Linked DNA regions of Canis lupus familiaris. The protein of the gene in region 1 purifies or fractionates together with the protein of each later gene. This does not show direct contact. Links are inferred from orthologs where the notes say so. Each region holds a gene or a part of one and is shown on either strand. Other genes may lie near its edges.

The links. The genes of interacting proteins can lie anywhere in the genome.
Region 2: the proteins of PSMD11 (region 1) and PSMD9 fractionate together in Homo sapiens (co-fractionation; 3 studies listed by BioGRID and IntAct, with this or other methods). This does not show direct contact. The link is inferred for Canis lupus familiaris from reciprocal best matches to the Homo sapiens genes PSMD11 and PSMD9.

The regions. Positions count from the first base shown.
Region 1 is NC_049230.1:40,477,131-40,484,871, reverse strand, and holds the end of PSMD11 (26S proteasome non-ATPase regulatory subunit 11), read left to right. Parts: intron 1-1,290; coding exon 1,291-1,353; intron 1,354-3,567; coding exon 3,568-3,693; intron 3,694-4,080; coding exon 4,081-4,116; intron 4,117-4,370; coding exon 4,371-4,422; intron 4,423-4,692; coding exon 4,693-4,835; intron 4,836-4,952; 3' UTR 4,953-6,512; downstream 6,513-7,741.
Region 2 is NC_049247.1:7,625,605-7,634,066, forward strand, and holds the start of PSMD9 (26S proteasome non-ATPase regulatory subunit 9), read right to left. Parts: upstream 4,967-8,462; 5' UTR 4,882-4,966; coding exon 4,744-4,881; intron 1,276-4,743; coding exon 1,173-1,275; intron 1-1,172. UniProt on the Homo sapiens protein: Acts as a chaperone during the assembly of the 26S proteasome, specifically of the base subcomplex of the PA700/19S regulatory complex (RC).

The DNA of each region.
Region 1 (7,741 bases):
TAGGTATGAGTATGACCTGTGTAAAGGAGGACTCAGACACTTGGACCATGCCTTCTCTGTACTTTGTTGGATTATCACTAGTAAAGTAAAAGTAATCTTTCTAGATTTCAAATGCAGTTGTCTCTGAACAATAGACTCATGAACTCTTTGGAGGAATGGCCACAATAGATGGTTTCTTCTTTCTCTACAAGTGGCCCTGGTTTGGGGCTCCTACTTTGGCCACAGGTATAGTCATTATTACAAAAGTGAAGGACTCACTGCCCTATCTAGAATCAGAATTGAAGACATGGGCTAAGAGAGACCAAGTGTCTAGGACAGGATCAGGTAACTATTAAATGATGGAGCCAGACTTTGAACTTGGGTTATCTGGCTCTTAGTTCTAGGCTTTTCTCATTATGACATTTTCTCTCTCTGGGACAAATACTGTGACACACTACACTAATGGTTAGTTTTGCACTATTTCAAACTCTGCCTTACGACATACCATCTTTATGTAAATGCATGGGCTGTACCAGAGAAGCTACTTCTGGTCATTTGGACCTTGATGACAGCTTTCAAGTAGGAGTTAGGACAGACTCCCAGAAAGATTGTAGATTTCTTGCTGAGTGAATGTGCCTTTTATAATGAGGCTAGAAGTTTACCTCAACCACTGATTGTACCTTCATCTCTCTATGGCATTTTAACATTGAGTATATAATATGTAGAATTTTGGTGTCTCAACCCTAATGAAAGTAGATCTTGGATCTTGCTCTGTACCAAACCTAGCAGAATGAGACTTGGAAGCACAGGTATGACCAGGTCTAAGGGCAAGAAAGTCAGTGGGCTTTGGGAATAAGGAGCCTTGGAGGAGGGGGAAAGAGATCACAGTTCTCTGGTCATTTTTTCTTTTAGCTTGTCCTCTTTGGTGAATGCCATATAAGGGCCTTTTTTCTTTTTTCTTTTTCTTTTTCTTTTTCTTTTTCTTTTCTTTTCTTTTCTTTTCTTTTCTTTTCTTTTCTTTTCTTTTCTTTTCTTTTTTCTTTTCTTTCTTTTCTTTCTTTTTTTCCTTTTTTTCCTTTTTAATTTTTCTATTTCCTAGTATTTTTAAGTCATTTCAGATTTCAAAGGGAGACTGGTGGCACACTGGTGGTGGTCTAGCTTTTCTTCCAGGCCTCTGAAGAACATTTGTGGGGTGGGTTCTTCCTTGTAGCCAGAAGTTGTGTGGACATAGCATACTGCTTAAGGCATATATTGGATGGGATGTGAATGTACAGAATAGATCACTGTCACTGTTTTTCTCTTTACTCTTAGACAGAAGCATTAAAATGTGTGGCTCAGGCTAGCAAGAATAGATCACTGGCAGATTTTGAAAAGGTAAGCAGGGTATTGGGTTGGTAGGGAATGGGTGGAGGAGAGGGGCATTTACTTAAAAAAAATCTCTTTATTTGTAAATAATTATAGTTTCATAAGAATTTTCAAAGACTGTACCCAATGATCCCATGTATTACTCATCCAATTTTCCCCAGTGGTTGCATTTTAATTATAGTACAGTATCAAAACCTGGAAATTTTATACAACAAAACTTGTTGAGTTGTAGTACCTCATTTATATATAGTACCTTTCAGTTTCAAAAAGTTCTTTTATCTGGGCGCCTGGTTAAGTGTCTGACATGATCCTTGGGTCCTGGGGTCGAGCCCCATGTTGGGCTCCTGCTCATCAGGAATTCTGCTGCTCCCTCTTTCGCTGCTTCGTGCTCACTCTTGCTCTACTCTCTCAAATAAATAAAATCTTTAAAAAAATGTTCTTTCATCCTTTTTCACTTGGATTTTTTTCTTCTCTCTCTCTCTCTCTCTCTCTTTTTAAAGATTTTTTATTTATTTGAGAGCAGGGTGAGTGAGAGAAAACATGAGTCGGGTGGAAGAGGGAGAGGAAGAAGCAGACCTCCCCTACTGAGCAGGGAGTCTGGTGCAGGGGCTCATTCCCAGGACCCCGGGATCATGACCTGAGCCAAAGGCAGATACTTAATGACTGAGCCACCCAAGCTCCCTGTCACTTAGATTTTTCACAACAAACCTCTTCTCTGCATTTTATGGTTGAGGGAGCTGAGCCTATGGTTCAGGGAGAGTGCTTGAAGCCCCACAGCTCACGTGTCAGGCCTCAATGCCAGGCCTGGCACTTATTTTGCACGCCATGGTCATAGAGTTTCCTTCAACTCCAGCAGTGCCAGCTCTGCTTCTCTTGTGGGCGTGAGAAAGAGTCTTGCTATGTGCACATGGACCAGAAGACACTTCCCGAGGTTGATGTTCCAGGCTGGCTTTGCCTCCTGTGCCTTTTACTCATTGTTAGCCAAGGTTTGAAAAGGGGAAAAAACATGCCTAAGCAGTAGAGTGAGACTTTGTATATTCTCTTCTGAGCCTCTCTTCTCCTAGTCTCAGTATAATGACCAACTTAAAAACAAATGTAGATCTAGAAAGAAAAACTTAATTGTGGATAGAGGCTAAACCATTTGGCTCTGGCTGTCTCCAAGATTCCACATCTTTGTTGAGCTTTCTTGCCAATTTCACTTCCTTACTTGGCATGATTTGCTTCTTCTCTTAACACCTTGTAGCACAGCTGACATGAGGCTGGATATTTAGACCATTCCTCAAAGTAAATAAATTACATACATGAATAAACAAAGTAGACTAGATCATTTTATCCTAAAGTTTGGGATGTTTGATGGGGATAAGGGTCTGGGATACATGAGGGCTGAACAAAATTAGGTGTTTTGTTTCCTGTTAACTGCAGAACTATATGCTGATGTGCTCATAAAACTCCATGAGCCAGGGGATCCCTGGGTGGCGCAGCGGTTTGGCGCCTGCCTTTGGCCCAGGGCGCGATCCTGGAGACCTGGGATCGAATCCCACATCGGGCTCCCAGTGCATGGAGCCTGCTTCTCCCTCTGCCTGTGTCTCTGCCTCTCTCTCTCTCTCTGTGACTATCATAAAAAAAATAAATAAATAAAAAAAAACAACTCCATGAGCCAGTTGTGGGATTAAGCATTTCCCATTATTTTTTATTTATTTTTAAAGAGAGAACACAAACTAACACACACGGAGGGGGAAAGGCAGACAGAGAGAATCTTAAGCAGACTCCATGCCCATCCGGACATGGGGCTCAATCTCACGCCCCTAACATCATGACCTGAGCTGAAATCAAGAGTCAGACGTTTAACTAACTGAACCACCCGGGTGTCCAAGCATTTCTCATTATTTAATCGCAGAAAAAAAATTTTTTTTTTTCATGGAGACCCTGTTTACTCTTTGGGATACATGCGGAGAACTGCTTGTGTAGTATCGGGCTTACGTGGTTTGGGCTGTCAACATGAGGCCTTCTGACAGAAAGGTGGTGCCTAGAAGGGTCTCCATCTTTTAGTTCCTGATGTTTCCTTTCCTTTGCCTTCTGGCATAACTTTTCTTTCATCTCAGATCCTCTAGAGCTTCAGTCAGTTATGTGTTTACAAGGCCCAGCAAACTACTTAGGAAGCTAGGAGTAGCGTGACTTTAGGTGCTTCTCTGTGCCAATCTCTGTGACTGGCTTTCTTGGCAGGCCCTGACAGATTATCGGGCAGAGCTCCGGGATGACCCAATCATCAGTACACACTTGGCCAAGTTGTATGATAACTTACTGGAACAGAATCTGATCCGAGTCATTGAGCCTTTTTCCCGAGTTCAGGTAAGGACCCTCTTGGGGACTCTGATTCTTTGGCTAGCCATTCTGTCTAGTCCCCTCCGTTCCCACGTGTCCAGAATAGGAACTTGCATCCAAGGCTGTGTCTGGTGGGCAAGAAGGCTTGGGCTTTTCTTGCCATAGGAATAAGTGTTAAGGAAATTCTATGGGATGGAGGCCAGTGAGATTGCCCTGCTCATCCTGAGTACAGTCCCCTCCTTGCTTCTGTAGTCACCGTGCATGTGGTAGATGTCTGTCTACAGTGGGTATGTGGGACGGGAATGTGTGTTGTCTAATGGTGAGAGGCCTAAGCATGACCAAAGAGAGTTTGGCCCCACGTTAGAGGCAGAAGTAGGACTCTCAGTGTCACTGTCTCTCTGCCTTTTCTTGTAGATTGAACACATATCTAGCCTCATCAAACTCTCTAAGGTAAGGAGTCCTGAGCTTGTCTTGGGGGCAGGGACAGGGAAAGGGGCTGGGGAAGTGGTTAGCATTTGTACTCAATGGGCCTTGTTGGAAAGTCCTCAAACTTCATGGTGTGGCGTGGGGACTGTGAGCTCAGAGCTCGAGTTTCACTGTTGCTGTTTTATTGACAATCTGTTTGCCCTTTTGTACAAAACTTGTGTCAGTGTGATCTCTGACTAGTGGATACCGATCCCTTTAATCATATGCTTTGATTTTAGGCCGACGTGGAAAGGAAATTATCACAGATGATTCTTGACAAGAAATTTCATGGTGAGTAACAGTGGTGAAGCAGTTGAGGCATCATGCTCTTGTTTATCTTGAAAGATGTTCCATTTATTTCACCTGGTAGCTCCCTGGGATCCTCACCATACTTATCCCTGTGATGAGAGTATGCATAATAAATATGCACAAATGGAACACGGAGATGATTTCTGATTCTCCTTCCTGGAGAAAGGGAGGCAGCTAGGGAGCGGGCTGCTTCTCAGGTGCCTTTGTATCTCATCCCTTCATTTACCTGGGTTGCCCTTTTGTTTCCTACAGGGATCTTGGACCAGGGGGAGGGTGTCTTGATTATTTTCGATGAACCCCCAGTAGATAAAACTTACGAAGCTGCTCTGGAAACCATTCAGAACATGAGTAAAGTAGTGGATTCCCTCTACAACAAAGCCAAGAAACTGACATAGGTGAGTGCCGGCTCTGGGACCCAGCCCGGGCAGCGCCGTCTTCTGCCTGTTGAGACTGAAAGCCTCTGGGTGGCCTCGCAGCTTCCCCGATTGACACTGCTCTGTCTTCTCTTGCAGAGTTGGATCTGTAGCGGTCCTTTGGAGAGTGTGTGTGGCGGGAGAGTGAAACCTTTGGGGAAAATGCTAGGAGATTCTTTTTTCTTTTTGTTCTACTTTTCGCTCGGAAAGTTTTTAAATCCTCATTTGGTGCATCTGTATTCCAGCCAATAGGTGTGCCAGTTTTCATGTAATCTTTACTGGCCCAACTTGGGAGTGGGGAAATTGCTTAAAAAAAAAGAAAAAGAAAAAAAAAAGGTTATTCTGAATAAAAGGAAAAAGGCTTACACTACCTAAAGCTGTGCTCTCTGCCTCCTGGGAGAGGGCCGCAAAGCCAGGAGCCTCGTCAACCACTGGGGCTCCTAATCCACCTGCTGGGCGTCACCTCTCCTCCTCTTCAGAATTGGGTGTTTGCCTGACCATCAAAGCAACGACTTTTTATTGTTTGTACTGAACCAAAACAAACAACTGTGTATAGACTGCTATTTTCTTTTTTATTTGAAATGAGGCGTTTTGGTGTTCTTTCCCCTGCCACATGGCCTGTCACCTGCCCTTCCCCCCCAACAATGGCTCCAGCAGACTGGCCCGAGGGCCTGCCGCCGCCGCCGCCACCGCAGCAGCACCTGCACAGCTCCGAGCTGACCTGTGGAGGAATGGGGACGAGGCCAGGAGCTAGTGTCCACAAGGGCCACACGGGAGCAGTGTGGGCCCTCAGGGGGCCTGCTGTGCATGTGGCTCTTTTTAACACAGTAAACTAGATTAGACGTCAGTGTTTTAATTGCCCTCTCTGCTCTTCTCTCTGTCCCTTCTCTTTCCCCTCTCCACCAGGAGACCATCACATGTCTCTTTTCCTCCCTCCTTCCCCTTCAGGGGAGTCAGGCTGTCTGAAATCCATCAGCTTCTCTCCCTGTCCCACTCCTCCTCCTGCTGTCAGATGGATTTAGTCTTTTTTTAACCAAGTGAACATTGAAAATGAGACTGTGGGGTGTGGGTTTTCTTTTTTTTCTTTCGTTTTTGTTTTTTAAACCTTTGTTGTTGGGTTTTTGAGCAACCTCATGTCCCCCTCCCAGGGAGCTGCTTTATTTACCTCTTAGAAACTGAACGGCTGGGAGGTAGAGCGTTGTATTTCAGCATGCTTTGTGTTATGATGAGATCACGTAGTGAGGCTTTCGTGCCATTTGGGCAGGTGAGCTTCTGCACCTCTGCCGTGCCCAGCGATATTTCTTCCTCCTCATTTTTTTTGTCTTCTCTTTTCCTCCTCCCCTCATGCCTCCTTCCTGCTGGCCTCCTTTTCTCTTTCTTTTCCTTTCTCAGATTATCCTTCCAGGTTTTCGTAATAAATTTATATTTTGTAAAAGGATTTTGTTGTACCAGGTTTTGCATCCTCACTGAATCTGACTGGCTTTTACTTTCCTCTCCAGAATCAGGTTTTTGTTCTCAACATCTCTTCCCATCATGTCCAGTCACTGTTTTGGTTTTGGCACCATCAATATCAAATGTACAAACGGTTCTTGCTAACCAACACCAGGTATATCTGATGTTCAGATGAGTTCCAATAAAAACAATTTTTTTTTTCAAAAAGTGTCCTTTTCTTGAGTGCTGGAGGGCTTCTGAACAAGTCCACACAGCTCAGTAGCCTTCTAGACTGGCCAAAGCTCTGGTACCATGTTTGCTTCATGGGAGACCTTTTGATCTGGGATAAAGTGGAGGGCTTTGAGGAAGAAATTTGATCGGTCAGGTCTGAAATGGGAAGTGGTATGCAGGCATCCTCCTGTTTTTCCAAGGCAACATGGTCCAGTGAGGGCACGGGTTTGGGCTGGAAGATCCTCTGCTGGTAGGTAATTGTGATGGGAAGGTTATATGAAGTCATGCAAGTGCCCGGAGAGGCCTGCAGTTGTGGTTTGGTTTTTAGTTGAAATCTTCAAAAGCAGTGAATTTTCATACTACCCCTTGGACCCTGGCTGCATTCTTCTGAGGGGCTCTGCGGCCACTGGGAAGACGGGGTGGGCTCTCAGCGCCAGCTCCACTTGAGTCAGAACTACTTGTTACTCTTTCAGTTTTGTATAGTCTCTGTGTAGTTTCACTTGAAGACTTGCTTGCCTAAAGGACTGTAAGAACTATTCCAAAGGGATCCAGCCCTGGAGTTGGAGAGGAGGGAGGGTTTCCCAAGCCTACTAGGGCAGCCCCAAGGAGCTGAGGTGGCAGCAGCCTGTGGCTCCCTTTGTGGGTCTGATGACCTCCTCTAGACCCGTGCTGTCCATGGTGTAGCCACTAGCCACACAGGCCTCTTCAGTCTTTGATATGTGGCTAGTTGGAAGTGTGATGCATTGCAAATGTAAATACAAACCAGATTTTGATGACAGTATGAAAAAATGTAAAATAGCTCAACTTTTTAAATATATATGTTGAAATATTTTGAGCATAATGGGTTAAATAAAATATATTATTAAAATCCATCTGTTTCTTTTAATTTTTTTAATGTGGCTACTTGAAAATATTCAATTACCTATGTGGCTTGCATTTGTGGCTCACATTATATTTTTTTGGACAGTGCTGCTCTAGACCTCCAGGGCTGCTTTTCCTCCCTGGCCTCAAGTACTCTGGATCTGGGCACAGTTGAGAGGGTTGGGTGGCCCATAGGCTGGCCTGGGCCCCGTTTCTTCACCTGGGGACCCTCCTGGCACCAGTCTTAAGGGTGCTAAGACTTTCTGGTGTGCTAATGAGACAGCCGTGGTGTTGGGAGGAGAGGCTGAGGTGCTTGGCTCTGGAGCACTGCTGCGTACTAGTTATATAATCTGTGCTGCCCAGAA
Region 2 (8,462 bases), on another chromosome or scaffold:
TGGTGGGACCAGAGGTTGGGAGGTACAGCTGCTGGCTTTGGAAATGGGAGGAACTACGAGCCATGGGACACAGGCACCTCCAGAAGCAGGGAAAGATAAAGAAATGGGCTCTTTATCAGAGCCTCCAGAGGGACACAGCCCTGCCAACACTTTGATCTTAGTCCAGTGATACCCATTTGGATCTCTGATTATTATAAGGCAATAAATTTGTGACACTTGAAACCACTAGTCTAGGGTATTTGTTACAATAGGACCAGAAAACTAATATACTACCCAACTGCTACGTACAACTTATTCCTCAACTATAAACAAATAAATGATTTTATTTAGGATAGTGATATGACCACCATGGAGTACATACCCCAACATGTCTTGCAGGCAGAGAGGCCTAGGAAGTGAAAGCAGAAAGCAGTGCAACAAGGCGGGGCTGGGATCTACAGGAGAGTTTCTTAAAGGGAGAGTCCTGGGCAGCAAAGGACCTTCTCCCCTTCCCACCTTCGTCCTTCCCTTCCTTCCTGCTTGGTGCATGGACATGGTGACCCTAAAGTTGGAAAACATGTCCAAAGGATGGCACAGCCTGGGATCTGACAGCCAGCCCTGCTCTGCTTCCCTCCAAATGTCTATACTGAGGCACTGAAGGCTCCTGTGTGAGTGACCGCAGTCAGGGCACTATCCTTACCAGCTAGATGCATTTCCTAACACATAACTAGTTTGATCAGGATTGCAAGCAATTTTTTTTAAAGATTTTATTTATATACTCATGAGAGACACAGAAAGAGAGGCAGAGACATAAGCAGAGGGAGAAGCAGGCTCCTCACAGGGAGTCCGATGTGGGACTCGATCCCAGGATCACGCCCTGAGCCAAAGGCAGACACTCAACCACTGAGCCACCCAGGAGTTCCAAATTTTTGACTCCGGTTTCTATCATCACTTTGAAAAAGTTTCCACAGTGAAGTCAAGTCTTTAAGAACAAAATGAAAAATGAAACCATAAATTTTAGAAGCCTAGAGGCCAACCCATTCCCTCACTCAGTCCCTGGATGCGGACAGTGAGCTAATCCCATCAGGGGAGAAGAGAAGGAAGCAGAGAATATGGAATAGTAAGATCATGCTTATGTGCCTTCAGCCTCCCTTGCTGGAAGGCTGGGGATTGGCTGCACGCACACCACTCACAGACGATGTTGTGCCTGGCAGTTCGGACTTGGTACAGGTCCACGTCTGACCGAGGGTAGCCCTCGCAGTCCACCAGTGGCTCATTCATCCCCACGCCCTTTTGCTAGAGGGAAGAAACATGGTTAAGATTTCACAGGTATGAAGTCCTCAAGACATTTTTTTCCCTTGCAGCCATCATAAAGGCGACAGGAATGAAAGCTGCCACATACTGATCACACAGTACAGGCCACGTACTTTCCCCAAATGCTCCCACAACCACCCTCTGTGGTCAGGGGGACGACACACTATTTTTCTTTTTACTGACTTTTAATAACACAAGTAACATCAATCTGTGCTCCTCTTTTTAAGTCAGACAGTGCAGATAAAACTAAAGACTCTTTTGAGCTTCATCCCCAAGGCCAGCCTCTTGGGCTCCTCCAAACCCTCCTTCCAAAAGCAGCTGACACCTGGCTGGTGGCCTTCAAACCCAGAGGGGAGTGAAAGCCCCAAAGAGCATCCAGCTGTGGCAGGACTTTGGTTCTTCCTGAAAGTAAAAAGGGATCTAAAAGGGATTTCAAAGAGGTTTTCATCCCTCGAAGGGCATACTGTTATCAACTGCCATTGGGAGAAGGAATTGGGTGGCTAGGGGACAAGGAAGGCAGAGGGACTTCATTTTCTATTTTTTTGTAGTCTTTTTGAATTTTGATCATGCACACGTATTCCCTATCTAAAATGACACATTTAAAATAAATAAAATAAAATAAAATAAAATAAAATAAAATAAAATAAAATAAAATGACACATTTAACATTTTAAAGTCTTTTCCTACATTAAGTCAGAGGATGGTGCACAATGGCAATGAAACTCGTCCTGTGATGGAGGGCAGAGGGTTTCCAGTCAGTTAGACTTTGATTTGAATCTCAGTCGTGCCGTGTACAATCCGGGTGCCCTTGGTTGAGATCTCCCCTCTCCTGAGGGAGATCCATGACACAGAGAAGATCATGTGACCAGGGGCAGAGGAGTTAGACCACCAAAGCCAGGGATGGCCAGTGACCACCAGAAAATAAGACAGAGGCACTGAACAGATTCTCCCTCAGATCCCCCAGGAGAAACCAACCCTGCCGACAGCTTAGATTTCAGACTTGTGGCCTTCACAACTGTGAGAGAATGAATTTCCATCACTCTGGTCACCCAGTTTGTAGTAATTTGTTATGGGGGCTCCAGGAAATTAATACATGTAAAAGTAATAAATCATGGCTGAATTATTAGTCAGCATAGAGGAAAGCTGCCCAGGGAATATATGTACTGGGATGAGGGATTCCATTCACTTCTCTCCCTTTCTTTCTGGAAGCCACTGGGTTATACCTACCATTTCCTATTGAAGCCCATAGTTTACCTTAGACTTCACTCTTAGTTTTATATTCTACAGGTTTGAACAAATGTATAATGACATGTACCCATCATTACAATCCTATATGGGATACCTACACTGCCCTACAAATCCTCTGTGCTCCATCTATTCATCCCTTCCATCACTTTGGATCCCTGCAACCACTGATCTTTTTAATGTCTCCACAGTTTTGCCCCTTCCAGATTCTGGTTGAAACCCTACAGATGCAGTCTTCTCAGACTGGCTTCTTTCAGTTACTTATAAGCATTTGGGGTTCCTCCAGGTCTTTTCATTGCTCACTAGCCCATTTATTTTTAGCAGTGAGTAATATAGTCTACTGTTTAGAGGTTCATTTTATTTACCTATCCACCTAGTTAAAGACATCTTGGTTGCTTCAAGTCTTGGCAATTACGAAATAAGCTGCTGGAAACATCATGAGGATTTTTGCGTAGACATGTTTTAAACTCCTTTGGGTAAATACCATGGAGCACAACTGCTGGATGGTATGGTAAGAGAATGTTTAGCTTTGCAAGAAACTTGCAGCTCTGAATCAAGAGTTCCCCCACATCCTCAACAGCATCCGGAGTTGAACTGTGATGAATACTGGCCACTTAGACACATGTGTAGTAGTACCTCATGGCTGTTTTAATTGGCATTTCTCTGATGACATATGACATATGTCTTTTGAGATACACGTTTTAAATTCTGATAAATTTTATCTACTTTTTCTTTCATTGCTTGTGATTTTGGCATCACATCTAAGGAGGTTTTACCTGACCCAAGATCACAAAAATTTACTCCTATGCTTTATTCTATAAGATTTATGGTTTTAGCTCCTCCCTCCTTTTTAAAAAAACAATCACAGAGGAGGGCTTCAGGCTTAAAAGCTTTCAGCCTATAACTGTAGCTAGTAAAAAGGAACAAACATATCACCTTGGTATGCATTTTTACCTTATGCTAAAGGGAGGGGAAAAAATCCCTTTCTCATATGCTGTAAAGTTACAAAATTTTCACTTAAGACAAACATATTTAAGTAAAAAAGTGAATCAATATAAAGAAAAATACCAAGGGAATAGTAGTACAGGAGATATTATGGATATAGCATCCCGCTTGAGGTAAAAAGTAAAGTTTGGAAAATTGTTAGCATAATGCTTGAAAACACAAGTTCTGGATTAAACGGGCCTGAGATCTGAATCTCATTTTGTGACTCTAAGCAAGTGACTTCTCTTTTCTGAGCTGGGTAACATACAAACTTCACAAGGTGGTTGTGGATTTCATGATATAACATACACACAAACCAGCACCCTTCAGGCATAATAATCAGCACCCTGCAACATGATACCCTAGTCTTTTGATGCTTGGATTTTACTCTCATCACCTAAAATGCATTGCATCCATTCACCCTATATAGGATGTATTTAATTTATTCTTCCTCTGCAAATTGATTTGTGGTTCTACACTAATTGGCATAAGAAAAACTACCAGTTTGGGGGCTAGACAGACCTGGGAATAGCCCCACCACAGCCACTTCTGGTTACATGACCCTAGACAAGGGTTTGCCTCACCCTGGGCCTCAGTTCCCTTACTTGTCACTCAAAGCTCGGTCTTTAGAGTAGTAGCATCAGCATCGCTGGGAATTTGCTAGAAATAGATCTGCACCTCCGCGCCCCGTCCTCATCAGAAACTGAACTTTAACAAGATCTCCAGGTGCTTGCCAAACATAATGAAAGTTTACGAAGTTCTGACGTAAAGTGAGTTAGCAAAGCACAGATCTTCTGGTACACATTCAACAAGCACCAACGATGGTGGTGATTATCACAATTTATTAGCTCTGTGGCCTGAGGCAGGTTGAAGTAACGCCTCTGTTTCCTCATCCCTAAAATGGGGGGAATAGTAGAACTCACTTCAAAAAGTTGCTGCGAGGGTTAAAGGAGCTAACCACGTAACGCAATTAAAACAGCCCCCAAGCGCCCAACACCGGGTAAGAGCTCCACGAACGCTTGCTATACTAGGCCAGTCGTTCTCAGGGGCTATCGTTAGTTGCTTACCGCCTACTGCCGACAGAGGCCGCAGTTGCCGCGCTTTGGGCCTCCCAGGGAGCGAGAGCTCCACCGCTGAGCGCTCAAACCCAGGCCGCCCCGGCCTCCCCATTCTCCCAGGCTGCCCCCCACGCCCGCTCAGGAGCCCCGAGCCCCCACTCACACTCTCCAGTACGTCATAATTGGCTTTGATCTGCGCCTCGATCTCCTCCTTGCGCCGTATGAGCTCCTGGATGTCACTGACAGTCACCGCGCCGGCCTGCGGGGAGCCTTCGCCCTGCCTGGCTTCCCCCTCCGACATCCTGGACCTCGGCGCGGGATGCGGGACACCAGGCTCCCCGGCTTCCGGGATGCGGCCGCCGGAAGAGACTGTGGCTACGGCTCCGCCCGCGGGCCAAACTTCCTCGAGCGTCAGCGAGCCTGACCTGGGGGAGGGGCCTGCTGGGGGCGGGGCGCCCGGAAGCCACACCCCGCCGGGACAAGTGTTCTGGGGACTAGGGAAGACCAGTCTGGGGAGGAATGGGTTCCAGGTCTGTCACCAGCCAGAACAGGATGATCTCTCCCTCGGTGACTCATTTGCTTTCCATTCATTCAGTAGACATGTACTGAGCGCCTACCATATGTTTGTGCCAAAGCGCTGTGCGAGGCGCTCCAGTTCAGCTCCTCAAATCTACCCAGCCCTTGAGAGATAACGAAACACATTCAGATTCCTTATCCCCCATTTTTAAAATATTTTATTTTTTTATTTTTTAAAGATTTTATTTATTTTTTTAAGATTTTATTTATTTATTCATAGAGACACAGAGAGGCAGAGACACAGGCAGAGGGAGAAGTGGGCTCCATGCAGGGAGCCCGATGTGGGACTCGACCCAGGGTCTCCAGGATCAGGCCCTGGGCTGCAGGCGGCGCTAAACCGCTGCACCACCGGGGCTGCCCGGTTTTATTTATTCATGAGAGACACACAGAGAGAGGCAGAGACACAGGCAGAGGGAGACGTAGGCTCTCTGCGGAGAGCCCATGACCCCAGGGTCACACCCTGAGCCAAAGGCAGACGCTCAACCACTGAACCATCCAGGTGCCCCCTAAGATTTTATTATTTTTAAGTAACCTCCAAACCCAACATGGGGCTGGAACACACAACCCCAGAGATCCAGAGTTGCATGCTTCACTGGCTGAGCCAGCCGGATGCTCCCCTTATTCCCCATTTTACAGACCCTACAAGCTCAGGTTCAAGTCTGGTTCTGGCCACTTAATGCAACCTACATGACCTTGGTAAATTCCTTCACTGCCCTGAGCCTATTTCCTCATCTATAAAATCATTGGATATTGATAGATATCTCAGGGCTGTGATTTTGCTAACAGCTATTTATTGAATGTCTCCTATATGTCATACACTGTCCCAGGAGCTGGAAAGATAAAGAACTGAGTTACTACTCAATGTCTCTTACGTACTAAGACCTCTTTAAATTTTGGCAAAAATAGTGATGATAATAACTTACCAAATTCATACAATGTGCCAGACACTGTTCTAAATGCCGTATGTGTATCAATTCAACAGCCCTCTGGGGGCGTCTGGGTGGCTCATTTGGTTAAGTAAGTATCTCCCTTCTGCTCTGGTCATGATCCCAGAATTCTGGGATGGAGCCCCACATCAGGCTCCCTGATCAATGGTGAGTCTGCTTCTCCCTCTCCCTCTGCTGCTCCCCCAGCTTGTGCTTGCTCTCTTTCTCTGTCAGATAAATAAATAAAATATTTAAAAAAAAAACAGCCTTGTGAAATCAGGGTTAGTACTGTTCTCATGTGACAACTGAGAAAACCCTTTCAATAACCAACTTGCCGGGATCCCTGGGTGGCGCAGTGGTTTAGCGCCTGCCTTTGGCCCAGGGCGCGATCCTGGAGACCCGGGATCGAATCCCACGTCGGGCTCCCGGTGCACGGAGCCTGCTTCTCCCTCTGCCTATGTCTCTGCCTCTCTCTCTCTCTCTCTCTGTGTGACTATCATAAATAAATAATAAATAAATAAAAAATAAATAAATAAATAACCAACTTGCCCAAACAGCAGAATAAGCTTCCAAATTTTCAACCTAGCCTAACCAAATAATGAAACAACATTTAAACATGTGCCCCCTAATATATTGCACTAAAAGGATACACCACACTGGTGTATTATTCAAAAATGTTTGTCCTGAATCTAATCATGGTAAATAAATTCAAATTAAAGAACACTCTTCAAAACAACTGCCTTGAACTCTTCAAAAAAGGTCAGTGTTGTGAAATACATATATACAAGCTAGGCAATTGCCTAGCTTAAAGACTAGGGACAAGAGAGGCAACTTACTTTCAAATGGTTCAGGAAGGGCAGCCCGGGTGGCTTAGCGGTTTAGCGCCCCCTTCAGCCCAGGGCCTAATCCTGGAGACCCAAGATCAAGTCCAAGTTGGGCTCCCTGCTTGGGGCCTGCTTCTCCCTCTGACTCTCTCTCTCTCTCTCTCTCTGTGTCTCTTGCGAAAAAATAAATTTTAAAAATCTTTAAAAAGGGCAGCGCCAGTGGCTCAGCGGTTTGGCCCCACCTTCAGCCCAGGGCCTGATCCTGGAGACCTGGGATCAAGTCCCACGTCGGGCTCCTGGCATGGAGCCTGCTTCTCCCCCTGCCTGTGTCTCTGCCTCTCTCCCTCTCTCTCTCTCTCTCTCTCTCTCTCTCTGTGTGTGTCTCTCATGAATAAATACATAACATCTTTTTAAAAAATCTTTAAAAAAACACAAATGGTTCAGGAAAAAAGAACAAATATATATTTGTGGACAAGAGAATGGTAAGGTAAATGTGATAATGTGTAAATAGTGATTCTGAGTAAAACATATACAAACATTCTTACTATCTTTGCTACTTTTCTGGAGGTTGAAATTCTTTTAAAATAAAAAGTTACAAAAGTAATCCTTATACAGAAAAAAAGTATAATTAATTACATTCAGCCTCCTATATTTTGTTCAGTTATCCTTTTTCTTTTTTCTTAAGATTTTATTTATTTGAGAGAGAGAGAGCACAAGCAGGAGGAGGAGAGGGAGAAGGAGAAGGAGGAGAGGGAGAGGGAGAAGCAGACTCCCCACTGAGCAGGGGGCCTGAGGCGGGGCTCTATCCCAGGACCCTGAGATCAAGACCTGGGCCAAAAGCAGACATTTAACCAACTGAGCCACCTACACACCCCTGCTTTTTGTTTTTTTAAATAATCTAATATCCAATTAGGGATTGTGCAAGTATTTAGTTATGTCTCTCCCTTTTCTTTTTTTTTTTTTGGGGGGGGGGTGTCAATGTTAGAAACGTTAGTTTATTTTAAAAAGATAATTGCAGGGTGCCTAGGTGGCTTAGTTGGTTAAGCGTCTGCCTTTGGCTCAGGTCATGATCTCAGGGTCCTGGGATGGAGCCCCGCCTCAGGCTCCCTGCTCAGTGGGAAGTCTGCCCCCTCCTCTTCCACTCCAATCCCCTACTGGTGCACACTCTCTCTCAAATTAATAAATAAAATCTCTAAAAAAATAAAAAATAAAAGCAGCAGGGATGCCTGGCTGGCTCAGTTGGAGACTCATATGACTCCTGATCTCAGGGTGTGAGTTCCAGTCCCACATTGGGCGCAGAGATTACAAAAAAGAAGAAGGAGGAGGAGGAGGAGGAGGAGGAGGAGGAGGAGGAGGAGGAGGAAGAGGAGGAGAAAGAAGAAAGAAGAAGAAGATTAAATTAAATTAAAATAAAAACATCAGCTTTAAAAGAATTATTAGGGAGTGCCTAGGTGGCTCAGTAGTTGAGCATCTGCCTTCTGCTCGGGTTGTGATCCTGGAGTCCTGGGATCAAGTCCTGCATCAGGCTCCCTGCAGGGAGCCTGCTTCTCCCTCTA